Linked DNA regions of Yarrowia lipolytica. The protein of the gene in region 1 binds, or shares a complex with, the protein of each later gene. Links are inferred from orthologs where the notes say so. Each region holds a gene or a part of one and is shown on either strand. Other genes may lie near its edges.

Evidence for each region. Proteins that work in one complex are often made in the same cells at the same time.
Region 2: YALI1_F19805g (region 1) and YALI1_C30205g share a complex: the UniProt entries of both Schizosaccharomyces pombe proteins name them as parts of the eukaryotic translation initiation factor 3 (eIF-3) complex. The link is inferred for Yarrowia lipolytica from reciprocal best matches to the Schizosaccharomyces pombe genes moe1 and tif313.
Region 3: YALI1_F19805g (region 1) and YALI1_F25254g share a complex: the UniProt entries of both Schizosaccharomyces pombe proteins name them as parts of the eukaryotic translation initiation factor 3 (eIF-3) complex. The link is inferred for Yarrowia lipolytica from reciprocal best matches to the Schizosaccharomyces pombe genes moe1 and tif301.

Annotation. Positions count from the first base shown.
Region 1 is NC_090775.1:1,977,781-1,983,776, forward strand, and holds YALI1_F19805g (uncharacterized protein), read right to left. Parts: upstream 2,744-5,996; coding exon 1,145-2,743; downstream 1-1,144. Other genes in the region: YALI1_F19764g (uncharacterized protein), read left to right, coding at 1-1,050; YALI1_F19811g (uncharacterized protein), read left to right, coding at 3,360-3,409, 3,552-3,614, 3,691-4,112, 4,171-4,292; YALI1_F19841g (uncharacterized protein), read right to left, coding at 4,393-5,996. UniProt on the Schizosaccharomyces pombe protein: mRNA cap-binding component of the eukaryotic translation initiation factor 3 (eIF-3) complex, which is involved in protein synthesis of a specialized repertoire of mRNAs and, together with other initiation factors, stimulates binding of mRNA and methionyl-tRNAi to the 40S ribosome.
Region 2 is NC_090772.1:3,018,294-3,023,571, reverse strand, and holds YALI1_C30205g (uncharacterized protein), read right to left. Parts: upstream 2,990-5,278; coding exon 1,670-2,989; downstream 1-1,669. Other genes in the region: YALI1_C30235g (uncharacterized protein), read left to right, coding at 5-742; YALI1_C30187g (uncharacterized protein), read right to left, coding at 3,423-4,784. UniProt on the Schizosaccharomyces pombe protein: Component of the eukaryotic translation initiation factor 3 (eIF-3) complex, which is involved in protein synthesis of a specialized repertoire of mRNAs and, together with other initiation factors, stimulates binding of mRNA and methionyl-tRNAi to the 40S ribosome.
Region 3 is NC_090775.1:2,523,190-2,530,001, forward strand, and holds YALI1_F25254g (uncharacterized protein), read left to right. Parts: upstream 1-2,275; coding exon 2,276-5,143; downstream 5,144-6,812. Other genes in the region: YALI1_F25289g (uncharacterized protein), read right to left, coding at 5,474-5,784, 5,828-5,855. UniProt on the Schizosaccharomyces pombe protein: RNA-binding component of the eukaryotic translation initiation factor 3 (eIF-3) complex, which is involved in protein synthesis of a specialized repertoire of mRNAs and, together with other initiation factors, stimulates binding of mRNA and methionyl-tRNAi to the 40S ribosome.

The DNA of each region.
Region 1 (5,996 bases):
CGGGTCAACAACGGAGTCATGGCAAAGACCATTCTGGTACACTGGAGACAAGTCACTGCCGAGAGGATTGACTCTCGTACAATGATGTTTCAGAAGAAAACAATGGAGCTGAACCAGAAGATTGCTCATCGTTTCCTGAACATCTGGAGAGACCACCTTGAGGATGTCGCTTTGGATATGTCCCGTGCCCACCAACATTATCGTAATGGTCTTTTGACTCTCGGCTTTAGCAAGATCAGCACAGTGTTCAACAAGATGCACGATATGTACTCTGAGGCTGAAGATCTACGCAACCGGAATGTCGGCAAGAGTTTTCTGAAATACTGGCGGACCAACATGGAGACAAAACGAAGTCGTCGTCATGAGGAAGAGGTTCGCGAGTTCCGTGCTCACCGAGACCACCAAATTGCGATAACAGCATTCTCCAGGTGGAGACTCGCCAAGAACAAGGTGGAGGAGGATATGGCTGTTGCCGAGGACCTTTTCATCGAGAAGGATATGTTGACCATGAAAGAGATATTTGATCATTGGAGATTCCTATCCGAGCAATCCAGAGGTCTGGTGGAAGATGCATCTGCCATCAACGACAAACGTCTTTTGAATGCGCACTTTTCTTCATGGCTGTTCAAGGCTGAGAGGGCTGACCTGTTCAGCAAGGCTGCCAACGACACACGAACGAAGAACCTCAAGAAGATCCAGAGACAACACGTGCGCAAATGGCGACTGCGAACGTTGCGCATGATCCAGAACCAACGAACAGCCGAGGACTTTGAGAAGAAGCGCGACTCTCGACTCGCGGAGCCTTACTTCAAAAAATGGCTAAATAAATGCAGAGAAAAGACTGGTTTTGGTCCCACCCTTTCAGATGAAGCAGTCAACTACCATGAAATTCGAGAAATGCATGGCTTTGAAACTCCTTTGCGGTCCAGCAGACGTCCGCCCACTTCTATTAGAATGAGCCGTTTGCGTCAGGACCCCAGCACTCCACGAACTCTTCTCGCACCCCTGTTACGAAAACAACTGGACAACGTGAATCAACAAACTATTTAATAATGTACATTAGCTATTTATCATCTACACTACACAGTAATTACATTTTATACTAACCAATCGTATTTCTATAACATGATTTTTTTAAAGCCATCTAAAAGCCAGCAGCGGGCTTGTAGATCTTGACGGCAGGGTTGTTGGGGTCCTTGACGAGAACGTACTTGCCGTCGTCCTTGGCGGTGGCAATGTTGACGACGGACTTGAAGATACCCCAACCGTTGTTAAGGTTGACATTGATCTGCTCAGCAAACTGCTTGGGCTCTCGGCTGACAACACCAATGATGTTGTGCTGGGTGTTGTCCTTAGGGGACACTCGGGAGGCGAAACCAATCTTCATCTGATCAACATCACCGAGAATGCTCTGCACAGTCCATCGAGAGATCTTGTTGAGGTTGTGCTTGAGTTCAGCGGCGATGATGGCACCTCGGCCGGTGTTGAACTTGTTCTTCCACTCGGAGGAGCCGTACTCGTTGAGAACACGCAGGTTGAGGGTAGTGCCGTCAGGTCCAAGAGCGTCGACCTCGGTTCGGAGGATGAGGTTAAGGGGTGCTCCCTCAGGGTCGTCCGAAAGGTTGAACTTCTTGTACTTGTAGGCGTGGCACAGGACGTTGGAGTCGTTGTTAGAGAAGGGGTTGGCCTTGTAGGAGACCTTGCTCTTGGGGTCCTCAGTAATAGCATTGGAGGCAAAGTTCTGGTTAATCAGAGTAGCCTCAAAGCCAAGGTTTGCGGAAGAGTTGATGTTGTCCTTGTCGGTGGAGTCAGCAGGAGGGTCAGCAGCGTTCTCGTCGACGGTGATGAAGTCGAGAGGACCACCCTCTCGCTTGTCAAAGAAGAGCTGCTCACCCTTCTTGGTGATGACAATATCCCAAGGAGCCACGGACTTGGTGGTGCACATGATCTGAGACAGAATGGTGTCAGTGATGAAGATTCGGTTGGCAGGGTCCTTGGCGAGCTCCTGCATGATGGGGTCCTCAGAGGTGGTGGTGTTGAACACGGTTCGGCCGAGGTGAGCGAGCTTGGTAATGTTGTTAGTACGGTCGAACTTTCGGTCGTAGGGGAACAGGTCTCCGTAGGTATCAATCTCCACTCCCTGGGCAACGTCGTAGCTGAGCTTCTGCATCTCGGAGTAAGTGATCTCCTGGATCTCGGTCCAGTCGTCGGTAATGTCGACGGAGGCGTTTCGGATTCGCTGGGGCTTGTCAAAGTCTCTCCATCCGAACTTGCTCTTACCAAATCGAGGGTTGGGGCCTCGCTGGCCACCAACGGGTCCCCGGCCGGGTTGATTCTGGAATCGGCCTCCTCGCTGGGAACCTCCTCGTCCAGCGAAAGAGCCACCTCGGGGAGCACCTCCTCGAGTCTTGAGAACGGTGGCAGTTCCTCGGGGCTTGTTGGCGTTCTTGGCGTTGTCAACCACGGAGAAAGATGACAGCTCCTCAGCATCCTCGTTGGTGAAGAAGGAAGCGGAAGAGGCTCCGTAGGCATGGTAGGGGTCTCGGAAGTTCTTGCCGAACTGGGTTCGCTTCTGGTCCTTACCGTCCTTGGTCTCAGCAGCCCAGTCAGCCACCTTACCGAGCTTGTCTCCCTTAGAGAAGGGGGCGTAAGGAACGTCGTCGAACTTGAGGTCCTCAGGGACGGTAGAAGGGGGGCCCCAAGGGGCGTTTGCGTCGAGAAGAGCGGGAAGTCGGAGAGCCATTATTGTCGTCTAGATGTGGATGTCCGGCTGTCTAGTTTCAATATCGTGGGTCGTGAGCTTAATTTCCAATTTTCACCTATGCCATGCTTAAATTTTTCCATGCGTGGATATTTCAGTCCCAAGAATATTAGAGTACGAGAGGGTGAAGACCTCCTACAATTCGTTGCAAGAGGGTGTCGCATCAAATAAGACCAGTAAAACTGTATCAAGAATGTCGAAAATGCTCACCTAGCTTTTCACTTTGTGAAAAGGCACGACCAGTAGCGTATTTGTGTCGAGACATCTCTAGTTGAGATTGCGAACATGCTCATGGGAGTTTGGGAGTTTGTTCAAGAACATCTTGTTTTCTCAGTAACTAGAAGATGTCGCCAAATAACACTATTGTGAGAGATTAGAAGAGTTGAGAAGAATACAAATATTATTATCACATCCGGGAAACTTCAACAATTACCAATATTACGAAGAGAAGGGCCTGCTCCTCTATTTGTGCAGCAACTCAGCCCCACTAACTTCAACGGCTTAGTAATCATCGACTTAATAAGCACCTCCCAATATCGATATCGTTGGAGTTAACACAACAGCACACAGTATCATCTACACCACACATCACAACGCAATGAACGGAATCAGTGTAGATATGAACCACCTGAAGAAGGGCGAGGTCAAGTGAGTACACCGCATTACAACTGGTACAGTTGTCCCTGCAATTGACCCCTTCAAGACCCCTTACTAACACAGCCTCGGAACCTCCATGTATGTATCACCATTTCGCCACCAACACCATCTAATGATACCCCATCCGCAATCGCACAGAAACTAACAACAGTATGGCCGTCAAGTTCAAGGACGGAGTCGTGCTTGGCGCAGACAGGTGAGTATCAACCAGGATGACCGCATTCGCCACCCGTCGGGACCCATCAAATGTTAGAACAATCCCACTAACACAGTCGAACAACCACAGGAGCTTTCATTGCCAACCGAGTCACCGACAAGCTTACTCAAGTCCACGATAAGATCTGGTGCTGCCGATCTGGCTCCGCCGCAGACACACAGGCCGTGGCAGACATTGTCACTTATCATCTGCAATCATACGCCGCCCAGAACGACAAGGACCCCTCTACGAAGGTGGCGGCCTCAATGTTCCAGGAGCTGTGCTACAACAACAAGGATAACCTCACTGCAGGTATCATTGTGGCTGGCTACGATGACAAGAACGGAGGTGAGGTGTACAGCATACCTCTTGGTGGTTCGTTGCACAAGCAGGACTACGCCATTGCCGGTAGTGGATCCACATACATTTATGGTCTTTGTCAAAAGAACTTCAAGCAGGACATGACCAAGGACGAGTGTGTTCTGTTCATCAAGAACTGTGAGTATTCCCCCGAAACAAGTATACCTGAGATATCCCGGTATTGTTACTAACATAGCGCTTGCCCAGGCCATTAAGTGGGACGGTTCGTCTGGAGGAGTCATTCGAATTTGCATTCTCACCAAGGATGGAGCTGAGCGACAGATCTTCTTCCCCGACGAGTATGAGGCTGATTACTGATTCTATAGGTTTTGGCATGTATGGAAAGAATAATAATATACAAGTGAAGTTATTCACAGGCGAAATTGTATTTAACGTATAAATAAGGACATTGCAAGTCCTAAATGTCAAAGTCCACATCGTCGTCCACATCTGACTTTCTGCTCTTCTTCTTCTTCTTCTTCTTCTTTTCTTTCTTGTCTTTTTTATCCTTGTCCTTCTTGTCCTTCTTATCTTTCTTCTTATCTTTCTTGCCTTCGCTCTTTTCCCCAGGCATGCTTCCCAAGAGGTCGTCGAGGGTGGAGAACCCTTCCTTTTTCACTTGGGGAACGGGGGACTGAGAGGGTGCTTCCACTTCACTATCAGCATGTTCAGTCTTTATCACAGGTTCCTCGATATCAGAGTCAAAGTCGAAATCATAGTCGTCATTTGGTTCAGTCTTGGGATGAGGGGTGTCTTCAACATTGCGCGCACCAAAGTCGTACTCGTCATATGGCGAGGGCTCAGGCTTGACAGCGAAATCACTGTCTGAGTTACCAAGTGCTGACTCCTTATCTGGCTCTAATTTGACTTGAGGCTCCGAATCTCCATCAACTTGGATTTCATAGTCATCAGAATCCTCGTCAACTTCAATTTTGTCGTCATCGGAATCGTTGCCATCGCCATCGCTGTTAAGCGTCTCCCACCAAGGAACTACTTCATCTGACCCAGCTGAACCATCATCAGCGACCTCAGCATCCTCCGCAGCCTCAGCACTCGCGTTCTCACTAGCAGGGTCATCGTCATCATTAAGAGTCTGGTCCCACCATGGTACCGTCTCATATTCGGAGTTGCTGTCATGTTCACTGGCAAAGGCAGAAAACTGACCTTCGTTTTTGATGGTTTCGAGTTTGACTTCGCCGTGGGCATGGCCGCTCGAAATGTCATCCAACAAGCTCAGATACTCTTCAAGACAAAAGATCATTCCTCCCTTATGTGCCAACTCAAACTGCACCCTGCATCGATCTAGCAGTTCCTTTGAGGTAGCTGACAAAACTCCTTGTTTCTCGATATTGTAATAGACACATCTGAGCAATACGATACCCCGAAGATACATTAGCGACGAGTCCTCCGAGAAGGGCGGGATCAGCATGTCCTCATCCAAACGGGTAAGAAGGTCTTCAGGCGTACCATTGAACTTGAGGTGTACAAGGGCCAAGTTTCGTAAGAAGTCATCACTTCTGGAGATCAAGTGCCGTATATCTCGCCCCAAGAGACTGAACTCATTGAGTTGTCGATTGTGAAACTTCAAATATGACATCTCCAGCATGAGAAAATTCAAGAAATTAGTGCAAGCGGATAGATTGTGAGGCGGTTCCTTGGTCTCGACAAGAATCTTGATACCTGGGCCCAAAAGACTACCGCGATGGAAACTGCCATTACGAATAGCCAACGCAAACGCTTTCGACGCGGTCTTCCAGTTCTTGCGCAAAATTGAGGTTTGAAGGATGACAGCCGTTGGTGTAAGTCCGGTCATCGCAAACCGCGGGGACGTTCTAGTGGCCTTGAATTCCTTCCGAGGTACTAACCTCAGGCCATCCACACGGCTGGCGTTTCGATTTAAGAACTTGCGCACATGCTTGCGCGTCTTTCTGTTGTTGATGGCGCTCTGTAGCATAGGGCTGTTGCGTTTCATGATGAACGGCTGGAGAGGGTTGGGCAGCATGTCACACCCCATTTCGGATG
Region 2 (5,278 bases), on another chromosome or scaffold:
TGAGATGTTAATCTCTCCAGCCATTGCCGCCAACTGGGCCACCATGGTGCTCCGACAAATGCAAGTGGCAACCAGTGTGGTTTACATACTCAGTCTCGACATGAAGGACGCCAAAACACATTTCGACAAGGGAATAAAGGTAGTGGAAGCAGTGGGAATCCTTGCTGTTGGTATTGGCCCGCTCTGGAGAAAACCCATGGTTTCTGCTGCCAAACTGCAGAGTTGGAAGATATCTCCTTACCAATTCACAGCTGCCATTCTCACCCTATCTACAGTACTCGTAAGTCTAGCAGCGGTCTTCCTTTTTGTCGTGAAGAACTACTTTCTAGTTGTTATTGTTGTTTTTGTCAACTCGGTGCTGGTCAATGAAATCAAATGGGCTGAGGCCTACTTTTCCACCAATTGGTTGCCTAAAAACAAGTACCTGGAGATGTTTGAAAAGAGCAAGAATATTATTCTGCTGTTCACCATTTTTCCTGCCATGATTGCCACCTGGATCCGAACTGTGTGGTTGTTTGTTCCTATTCCTGTGGCTCTTTTGCTCATATCCTACTTCCTGGCCTTCAAATTGGAACGTCTTCTCGACCAGCAAGTCAAGTACAAACAGATGCTTGAAGACAATGCTGAATACACTCCTCTTGCCGAGTGGAATGACCCCAACTCGTATGACTATTACAAGATTGACATTAAGCAGGAGAGCTGGGGTCAATTCTACACCTATTATTTCTTCCAGTTTTTGTGACCTCAATTGATATGCACTGAAGATAATATGTATTGTTGATTAGATATATATAACTTAGTACATATAACAGTATATATATAACAACCCACTTCTAAGGATACCAGCTTCCAATAATAACGCACACCAGAAAGAGATTCTAGAGAGATTCTAGATAAGCAGATACACCATCTACAGGACAGACATGTCGTCGACCAGCTGATGGAATCTTCTAGCACCCTACTTGGTATCACCTTCAACTTCCGGTGTTGAAAGACAATAAATTAGTGAAGACATTCCGTTGGAATCAGCTCAAGACAGTGTATAATCAGCCTGTAGGAGGAATAAAAGTATCTTAAATTTAAATATACCGTATCTACAGATGATCCAGAGTGGGTATGATAACTCCTTTAAAAAGAAATGAACTTCTCATTGGTAGACACAACATATAATATGGGTGTAGCTACAAGTACATACTACCTGCTGATACCAAAGACGAAAAAGCTGCCAACACATATATATCAAGTTTGGTTTCGAATACGTTTCCAGGTTTTTTAAATGTAAATATCACCTAGGTGTATCCAAGCCATTATCTGTCCTTCTCTTCTTACGGAATGAAAAGTGTGGTTGAATGAGCAGTGTGGTTTTTTGTTTTTTTTCTGCATATACATTCATTTAATTGGTGTACACAACATGAGAAGAGACACCTAACCAGACATGTGTATTGCAATAAGTGGTTAAAGAAACGCCATTCAATTCTGTCTTGAATTCTGGGTACAGCAGCTATTGTAACATAACTCAGACGAAACTCACAATTCGCTCTTGCTCCTCGAGTACAGTACTTTCATAAACATCTACACATAATTACGGTAGACACATGTCATAGGCCACTTTACTCGTACTCTACATTCTCCCCATTGCTTATCAACCATATAATCTCTATTTTACCTCCTAAGCAGCAATTTTTCTCTTCTGCGCGTTGGCGTTCTCTCGGGCCTGCTTGACCACGTGGAGCACGTCGTTGATGCTCTTCTTCCACACATCCAGCTTCTGGCTGATGACCTCCCAGTCGGCCTTGGCGATAGGACCGCTCTTCTGGGCCCGGTGCACAGCGAACGACTGCTTGGTCTGGCTCAGACGGCCCTCCACGAGACCGGCTCGGATCGTATCGATAACCCACAGCTCCACTGTGTCCAGAGAAACGTCCAGGTTCTTGGCGATGATAGAGTACTCGATCTCAGGAGACTCGGCAGCGAGGTTGGCCAGCGCAATGACTCGGGTCTTGGCGAGCAGCGACTCCGCATCAAAGTCGTTCTCCTCAATGAGGCTCTTGGCGTCTCCGGCGGCCAGAGATTGCATCTTGGCCACTTCTCCGCTTGCCACGGTGGTCAGCAGCTCGAATAGTCGCTGTTCTGTGGTCTTGAGGTCCTCCACGGGCTCGAGAGCCAGAATAGAGCCAAAGTCGTACACGTGGTCCGACTTGAGCGCCTGCTGCACCAGCTTGCAGGTCATGGGGAAGGTGGAGGTCTGGGTGTTGCCAACAGCAGCCACCAGCAGAGCCAGGGCCTTGGCGGGCTCGTCCAGCTGCACGAGGGCACTGTAGATCTTGGCAATGAGCTGATCTCGCACGTCAGCCTCAATCTGCCACGTGTTGATCCATGTGACGGTCTGGTCGGACTTGAGCTGTCCGGCAAGAAGATGCAGGTTTCCAGTCTCCTCAGCGGTGGTCAGAGCAGCCAGAAGGGTGTTTGCGAGCTGTGCGTCGTCGTGGCTGGAGCTCAGCATATTGAAAAGAGAGGCCAGGACAGCAACAACGGCCTGGCCCGCAGCAGCGGGGCCGTTGAAAGATCGAGGCAGGTTGCTGTGGCCGGAAATGGCCTTCAGAACAGCATCAACCCACTCAAAGGACTCGGAGAAGGAGAAGACGTGCAAGCACAACTGCCACACGGACTCAAACTGCTGCTCCGAAGACTTGTTTAGCAGAGGGAGCTGCTGAGTAATCAACTCAAACACCTTGGGCTCCTCACCCGCAGCCAGAGCTCGTTGGCAGTTGGCCTCCAGCTCGTCGCAGCCAAGGGTCTCGATGTACGCGGTCAGCTCGGCCACCAGGTCGGCCAGAGAGCCGTCGACAACCATGAAATTGATATCGGACATGTTGGTTGTGTAGTGGTGGGTGTGGTGGTTGATGTGAAATTTTTGGGCCCTCCATAGAGTTATGGTTAGGGTTGGGGTTAGATTGGAGAGCTCGTTGTTACCACCTTTTCTGGCCATCTGGGGTGTAAAGTAGCCTTATATACAGGTACAAAATGTCGTGCTCATTACACTGGTTGTTTCAGTGTGACCAAATTCCATCTCAATCACCTCTTCTACCGCCCCGTTCTCTCCTTTGGATACTCAATTGGGAGTAATGAAATTTCACCTTAAAAAAAAAGAACCCGAAATTTCAACTGTCGATGTTGGTTGGGAGGAGAAGGAAATGCACTTGACTTGTTCACACAGAACATTGCTACGACAGAATGTAGCAGTAGGTGCAAGTACAAGCACCTGTCGCGGTTGCCACCATTACTCTTCATTTCAATACAATGATGTTCCTTTTTTTCCCAAAGTATATCCAAAATATCCATTCAATACATAATACAAAATACATCCCCTTGGTCAGCTTAGAAACTATCTGTAGGCCAGTATCCGTCTGTCGTTAAGCAGCCTACAAAAACTTGTCAGTAAACCGCCCCTTAGATCGAGTAGCATCCAGGAACAACGACTCGCACTCCTCCACGTCCTTGACCTCCACCACGTCTCGTCCCTCGCTCTTGGCCAGCACTCCAGCAGGAGACAGAAGCTGAAGGCCGTATCTCAGCGAGGTTCGGGCTCCATGTTGAGCAAGGGCGTCCAGAGCGTCCTCGGAAATCTGCTGCTGTTCAACCACAGCTCGCTTCTGAATGATGGTCTTGATCTCGTCCAGAGAGTAGGGCAGAGTTCGCACAATGAGCAGTCGATCGAGCAGATCGGTGGTGATGCCGTGAGGAGACACATCGTCGTCCACACCCCGAACTCGGCACATGCCTCGGTTGGACGCCAGGATGACAATGGGCGAGATTGTCGACTCCAGAGCCCGGTTGAGGTAGGTAAAACACTCCACATCTAGCATGTTCACCTCGTCGATAAACAGTACACCAGGCACCAGTTCAGCCACTCCCTGGTCAATGTACGACTGCACCTTTTTGTTGACCTCCTCTCTCAGCTTGTCTGTGATTTCTGTCTTTTTGGGCTTCATCAGCGAGCCCATCATCGACATGACATCCTGTCCTCCCTGAGGCCGTGCATTGGCCACATCCAAATCATGCAGCGTTACGTCCTGCACAATCTCCTTCTTCTTGTGCACCTCTCCCTTGGGCAGGGGAACGTACTCCTCCGTCTCGAGATCAAATTCGGTAGCGTAGGCATCCGATCGTCCCACTCGCTTGACAGCACCAGTGTTGGCCTCAATGTAAATCACGTCGCCAACGGCCACCCGCTCCTTCTGAATCGACTCGTAGATCTTGGGATCCAGCCGCAGTTGCTTAGTGCCTCTGTAACTCTTGAGACCCACCACCACCGACCGGATGGTTTTGCCGTAGCCTCCCAGGGGATCTTCGGCCTCCTCGGGCGTCAGCTCCGTCACCTCTCCCTCGTAAATGTCCTTGGTCTCCTTGATTCGCAGTCCAATGGCCCGTCGAAAGTTCTCCATCAGAGCAGCAGTCTTCTTGACCTCTGCGGAGAAAATCTCAGAACCAACAATGGGGCAGAAGGGGACCTTGGGGCCGAGTTCCTGCGAGACGGCAAGCGCCAGAGCAGTCTTTCCGGTACCGGGACCGCCAGCAAGAAGGATTCCTCGGCCGCTCATCTTGCTGGCTCGAATCAGGTCAACCACCAGTCCCAGGGCCTCTCGAGCCTCGGTTTGGCCCACAAACCCCGCATCAATGGGCTTGGCGACACCCATTTCGTTGAGACCTAGACCACGGATATGTGTGTGCGCGGCTGTGCGGGTGTCTCGCGAATTGCTCTTGATTTCGTTGATTTGCACCATGGTTATGTCTAGTAGTGATGGCAAGTGGTGATGCAGACGGCTTGATTTTTTTGGTGCAGTGTGGAACCTTGATGAAAGAGCTGAACTGTAGGTAGGGTAACTTAGGAGGAGGAGGTTTGGGGGTGTTTGAGGGGCGAGGGAACAAATTTGACAACTATTATGGGGTTATTCAAGGCCACATTATACTGCTGATCTGATTCAAATGTCAAATTTCGTGCTCTCAACGTCTACTTGGTGTGGGGTTGTGGAATGTTAGGGCTAACAATCTTGGGCGTGAGTTGACATGACTTGCAACATTAAGGCGCCGCAATAGCTGTTTTGTTGACAACACTCTATAACCCAACTAATGTTGCTCTCAGTACTTGACTTGATGACCTAACGCCCACTCAACAGCACACCTCATCCAACTCGCCGGAGAGACATTCCACAAACTCTGGAGATGAAAATAATGAGTATTGTACCTTTTCAAGAATACCCATATCTTACCATCACCA
Region 3 (6,812 bases), about 550 kb from region 1:
TCGACAACGTGGATCATCTGCTAGACCGAGTAACGCGAGAGAAATGGTAAATTTAGGAGCTGAAGGAGGTCAGGAGACGTATTCAAGCAACCATCGGGTAAACATTGAGTAAATATTTGGCTAAAAAATGTCCCATGTTCCAGCGTTGTATCTACCAGTACACTGTACTTGTACATGACTCATGGTAAAGCTGTCACAACCTGACAAATCAAGCAGACTGCTCATCCCCATGTGGGAGCATCCATCCTTGCATACTGGCCACTTCTTTGTCAACAGCTATTTCGGTTTAATATGGGGTTCAGAATCGATTGCCGGCATATGACTGACGAGTTATGTGTAGAATGCCAGTCACATTGGTTGTGCATGGTGTATGGGGGAATGAACAACAGATACAGAATCGTTCCGGTACTTGAATAGACCATCCTTCTGTATGAGACCACGAGTGTCAGTACATACAGTAGCTAATGCAACAGAATATGTGCAGAATATACCTTAGCTTCCTTCCCATACACCTTCTCGGTCAACTACTTGCACTCGTACTCGTACTCGTGCAGTAGTAGCTCAAGCTGTGATATAGCCAGCGAACTACGGCTGTTAGTTCGAATATCGTAGAGCGCAGAATGACTCTCAAAACAGCACAATCTACAGTACAGCCCCGAGCCACTTGCATGTATTTGCTCGTGGTCATACACACATCATGCCACTTCCCCTCAGATGCATGAGTGTACCTTCCACTACAATACTTGTAGCACAAGAACCATATGTCACCAGAGCATACACGGAGATGGAGTGTCGGAGAGATGGACGTCTTTATTCATCAAATCTGAAGTACAGGTACTTTTATTGACACTTCAAGAATCAAAAGTTTAGGAGCTTGAAAGGCTCCCATTTACTCTTCAGCGTGTCCCTCCAACATATCCAGCTCATTATACAATGAAAGGGAGCGTAGTAAGGGACAAGGGTTTCCTCCTTCGTTGTATGCACACAAGCTGTAGTGGATTTGGTATCTCGTTAAACCGCCACCGTCCTTACATGAGTGCGAACAGTATCATTTCTCTTACCAAGAGATGGCCAAGAGAGGACACTTTATACGCTCGACTTTTGGAGCTATTTGAGAACAGCGCGAGGTATCCATCAAACATGATCTCTTCGTCAGTAACATTGTACAGTTACACAGCATTGAGAGAGTAAGGCCCAGCAATCAGTGTTGCTACAAAACGCCAGGGAAGATGAAGAGACACTTCAGACTTTTGAGCATCATGGCACAAGAGTACTCGTAGTACAGTACCAGTTAGGTCGAAAGCCTGAAAATAGCTACATTACTGATATATCAATGCACTCGAAAAAGCGGTTGCAGGTTCCTTTCGTCCATTTTGGGTCCCATATACTCTCCGTGAACTACAGTATGTACGATGTACTCGAGGACTGGTCCATCGAACCTACAGATACCGCGATGGTACGATACAGTTCTTTTATTGGTAGATATAGATGACATTTGGAACCCGGTGTGCTTATACAGCAGTTCTACAACTCCTACAACGGAGCCGACAGCTCCACAGAGTCTCTGACCTCGCTCTACACAACTAATGCTCTAACACAGGCCCGAAGGTATATCAGAGAAGCCGCGGTTCAAGGTAACAGGGAGCATATCACCGGGATTACCGGGGAAATCTGAAGACCAAAGAGACCAGAGATACACAACAGTCAGGAGGCATGTTAGTTCCACTCCATACAAACTACTGTACATACGTGCACCTACAGTACATTCAAACCTGAGAAAGATCATGAGATATCTGTAAGTGCACAACTTCATTCAAGTCCAGTACTCTTACCAAGATATATCATCACCGTCGTATTAGACACTTTCCAAGTCATGCTCTCCTCCACACCTACTGTACGATACGAGGCTCTGTCTGGTCATGTGACCTTAGTTAAATTGCATATATATACATACAGCACACACATCTTCTTTCCTCGTCTCCCAACTACAAAACTCTAACTAACTAAACACCACTGTAAAAAAATTAGGAGCTAATGGTAGGTAGTGGATCTGATGATGACGTGATAATGCGAGGAGAAATGGGACAGCTTTATAGAATTCTACTTCCAAAAACTGAATACAAGCACCACGCCCTGTCGCAGCCCTCTACTTCTGCCCCTCGTCACAACCACAATCCCTTCTTTTTGCCTAACCCTCAAAGTTACCCTACCTGCAAGTCTCACACGTCTGCTGAAAAATTTCTAGTTACACCTACCAAGCAACCACACCACCAATATGGCTCCCCATCAGAACGTCCGTCCCGAGACGGTCTTGAAGCGAACCGACGAGCTTATTGCCGTGGGCCAGCAGGATGCTGCTCTGGAGCTTCTCCACGAGACTGTGTCTGCCCGAAAGGCCCGAACCACTTCTGTGGCTACTCTGGAGCCCATCGTGGCTCGATTTGTGCAACTTTCCGTTGACCTGCGCAAGGGCAAAATCATTAAGGATGGTCTTCACCAGTACAAGAAGATCGTGCAGTCCACCAACGTGAACGCCATTGAGCCTGTTATCAAGCAGTTTCTGTCTCTGGCCGAGCAGCGAGTTACTGATGCTCAGGCCCAGGCTGACAAGATTGCCGACGAGGAGGAGGCTGACGATCTGGAGGCCGAGGAGACGCCTGAAGACCTGCTTCTGGCCACGGTGTCCTCCGAGGACACCAAGGACCGAACTGACCGACGGGTCGTAACCCCCTGGCTCAAATTCCTGTGGGAGGCCTACCGAAGCGTGCTGGACGTTCTGCGAAACAACAGCAAGCTGGAGGTCATCTACCAGCAGGTGGTCGAGCAGGCCTTCAACTTCTGTCTGAAGTTTTCTAGAAAGACCGAGTTCCGACGACTCTGTGAGCTTCTGCGATCCCATCTGCAGACCACTGCCCAGAAAGGCCCCAACGCTCCCCCCGTGACCGCAACTTCTGTCGATCTGTCTGATGCTGACACTCTGCAGCGGTACCTTGACACCCGGTTCTCACAGCTCAACGTGGCCGTCAAGCTGGAGTTGTGGCAGGAGGCCTTCCGATCCGTCGAGGATGTGCACACCCTGCTGACAGTTTCCAAGCGACCCGCCAAGCCCCTGATGATGGGTAACTACTACGAGAACCTGGCCCGAATCTTCCTGGTCGCCGGAAACTACCTCTTCCACGCTGCGGCCTGGAACAAGCTCTTCCACCTGCTGTCCCAGTCTCCCCGAGGTGCCATCCCCGTGTCCGAGTACCAGCGAGTCGCCTCTTTTGTGCTTCTGTCTGCCCTCGCCATCCCCCACAACTCCAGCGCCGAGGATCGATACCGAAACACCCGGCTCACTGGTCTGCTCAACCTGCAGCGAACCCCCACTCGAGACGCTCTTCTCAAGTCTGCGCTGTCCCGAAACATTCTGGCTCACGTCAAGCCTGAGATCAAGGCTCTGTACAAGACTCTGGAGGTCGACTTTCACCCTCTGTCTATTCGAGCCAAGCTGACCCCCGTGGTTGGCGCTATCGCTGAGGCCCCCGAGTTCAAGCCCTACTTTGCCCCTCTTTACCAGGTCATTCTCACCCGGCTCTTCCAGCAGCTGTCGCAGGTCTACGAGTCCGTCAAGCTTGACTTTGTCATCCAGTTGGCTACTTTCCCTGCCCCTTTCTCTGCTACCCCTCTGGAGATTGAGCAGTTCATTGTCCGAGCCTGTGCTCAGGGCGAGCTGGCCATTAAGATTGACCACGACCAGCGATCCGTGCTGTTCGAGGAGGTCCGAGCCGCCACAGGCTCTGCTTCTCTGCAGGACACTCCCATTGAAATTGTTCGAACCCAGCTCTCTCGGCTTGGTCGAACTCTCTCTGTTGCTGACCCTCTCAACTCCGCCGAGGCTCGAGAGCAGCAGTACGTGGCTGCTCTCACTACTGCTCAGGACAATGCTGAGCGAGAGCACGCCGAGACTCTGGCTCGACGAGCTGAAATTGAGGCCCGAAAGGCCCAGGCTGAAGCCGAGCGAGCTCAGCGAGAGGAAGAGGAGGCTCGAAAGCGAGCTCAGCGACTTCTGGACGAGGAGCTCGCCGAGAAGGAGCGTCTGGCTGCCGAGCAGCACGCCCGAGAGCTCGAGCGGATCCGAAAGGAGCAGGACGCCATCCGAGAGGAGGAGAAGAAGAAGCTGGCCGAGGAGATCAACGCGAAGGGTATCATCACTATCGATCTCGACAAGCTCGAGGGTCTGGACACCAACGCTCTGCGAAAGATGCAGGTGGACCAGCTGGCCAAGGAGACCAAGGAACTTGGAGACCGACTCCGAGTCACTGCTCGGCGAATCGACCACACTGAGCGAGCCTACCGAATGGAGGAGATCAAGCTGGTGGAGGACGACTTTGTCAAGCAGAAGCAGCGAGACCGAGAGATCTACGATACTCGAATCAAGCTCATCAAGGACACCGCCAAGGCCGAGCACGACGCCAAGGTCGAGCTGGCCAAGCGTCTGCAGCGAGCCGTTCCCTTCTACAAGTCTTTCCGAGACGATATCCGTGTCAAGCGAGAGGCTGAGTTTACTCGTCTTCGAGAGGAGGCCGTCAAGAATCTCGCCGAGGCTAAGGCTGCTCGAATCGAGGAGGTCAAGGCCAAGCGAATCGCTGACGCCAAACGAGCTGAGGAAGAGGCCAAGGCTGCCGCTGAGGCAGAGGCCAAGGCTGCTGCTGAGGCGGAAGCCAAGGCCAAGGCCGAGCAGGAGATGCGAGAGAAGCTGCTGGCAGAGAAGAAGGCCCGAGAGGAGGCCAACGCACGAGCCGACGCCGCCTACGAGAAGCAGCGACAGAAGGAGGCCGAGTTGGAGGCCAAGCTGGAAGCCAAGCGAGCCGGCTTCTCCGGAGCTGGTCGACAGGCCCCTCCCAGCGGTGGCTACGTTCCTCCTTCGCGACGAGAGGGTGGATACGTCCCCCCCAGCCGACGAGGAGATGCTGGAGCCGCTCCTGGAGCTGGCTCTGGAGGTTACACTCCTCCTAGCCGACGAGAAGGTGGCGGAGGCGGATATGTTCCCCCCAGCCGACGAGAAGGTGGCGGAGGAGGCTACGTTCCTCCTTCTCGACGTGAGGGTGGATCTGGCGCTGGATCTGGAGGCCGATATATTCCTCCTTCCCAGCGAAACTAAAATTAAAGGTGATTGGTATAGATTAACAACTGATTTGTTGAGATACGAACAAGTAGAACAAGTAGAACAAGTGGCGTTTGTGAAAGTACTGTATGAGTACACATACTTGTAACGGTACATACTGTACTACTGTAGTAGAGTAGAGTGGGAGCTGTGCTCCAGATAGATTGCAAATGCAATCAGAAGGTGGGTTAAACAACCATACAAGTAAACTTTCATTGAGATGCTTGGTACACATGAGAGGGGCGAGGCATGTTGAATACGAAAGCAAGCTCGACAGAGTGGGCTATCTTATCTGAATCAAATGGAACGATCGAGAGGTGACATGTCCTATATTACTACAGTACAAGTAGAGAGTACTTGTAGTTGGATATGATTATGGCACTGTGTTATAAAAACGCCACTCTCGGGGACAGCAACCTTCAGAGGCTTGCTTTTGGGCGTTGAGAATGGACTTTCACGGACATTGTCTGCAGCGCCAAGTGGCTCCGTTTTCTTATCTTGCAGTTGATTGCACGAGGGTTTAAACCACGGCACGCAAAGTTCAGCCGCCTGCTTGACTTGACGAGAGGTAACCTGGTGAAAGGCGCTTGTAGAAAGCGGCTGAAACTGCCCACCCGAGCCGTCCAACCGAGCCACTACTTTGGCTGAAAACGAAATTGACTCGCAGTGCGACGTAAAAACTGGAGTATGGTGCTGAAACAGAACTCATCCACAACCAAAACGATCACAATTGCTCGCCTACTTGTACTGGTACGTTCCCTATCTTTTTCCTCTCGTAATGTGACCGTTTTGGGATTTAGTTTACACCAAGGCCAAAAGTTTGATAAGGAATGAGAGCGAATCTCAAAGGTGACGTAGATGTTGGAGCCTCGAAGCCGTGGTCCCTGCAACCCTCTACTTGATTTGCAAAACTTTTTCTGTTTCTAATACGTAAAAAGTTTGGAATGTCTCCTTATTTCAAATCTTGTGTGCTCGCCGACGAACAAGTCGTCTTTGGATCAATAATGGATGTGACACTGTCTAGTTTTTCCGCCCCGGCTCACTAGTGCTCCGTCTGTTAGTATTCATAATCCGGGTCATCATACGCTATAATACACTAGTTGAGTTTTTTCATCCGCTATTATAGCTCCTCAGACGGGAACTAGTCGGGAGCGGAACGTTCTTCATGTCCCCGGAAACGAAAACTTTGGACATGGTAGAATTACAGTGGGTGGCGCTACATTCTAAGGAGGGGAGGTAATAGTAAACAGACTGGGTGTGATATGTCCGTCTGGTTTTCGGACTAGCCTCTGCGTCATCTCTCATGGCGCAAAGTGCTACTTGTAGTGTAATGCAGAGGGCTTTTTCGGCGGAGTTCACGTATTCACGTACAGTTGTATTCACCGCAGCCAAAAACGGGCTAGTCAAACAGCCTTTAACAACGGCTAAGCTCAAAAGTCCTCGAAGGATGGGTGCAGTCATTGCAGCCCCTGTGTGCAGAAGACGGCTTCTACTCGGGGAGAAGAGAGGTGTAGAGTGGTGTAGATCGTGCCGTGCCAGTCAGCTTGATGACAATGATAATGACCTTCTACCCCACAGGCGGGATTCCGTGTCTGTCTAAAGCCTACCGTGAAGCGGCTAACAAGGCCGCAGAGGCTAATATCGAGTGTCTTTTGGGCTATGGTGA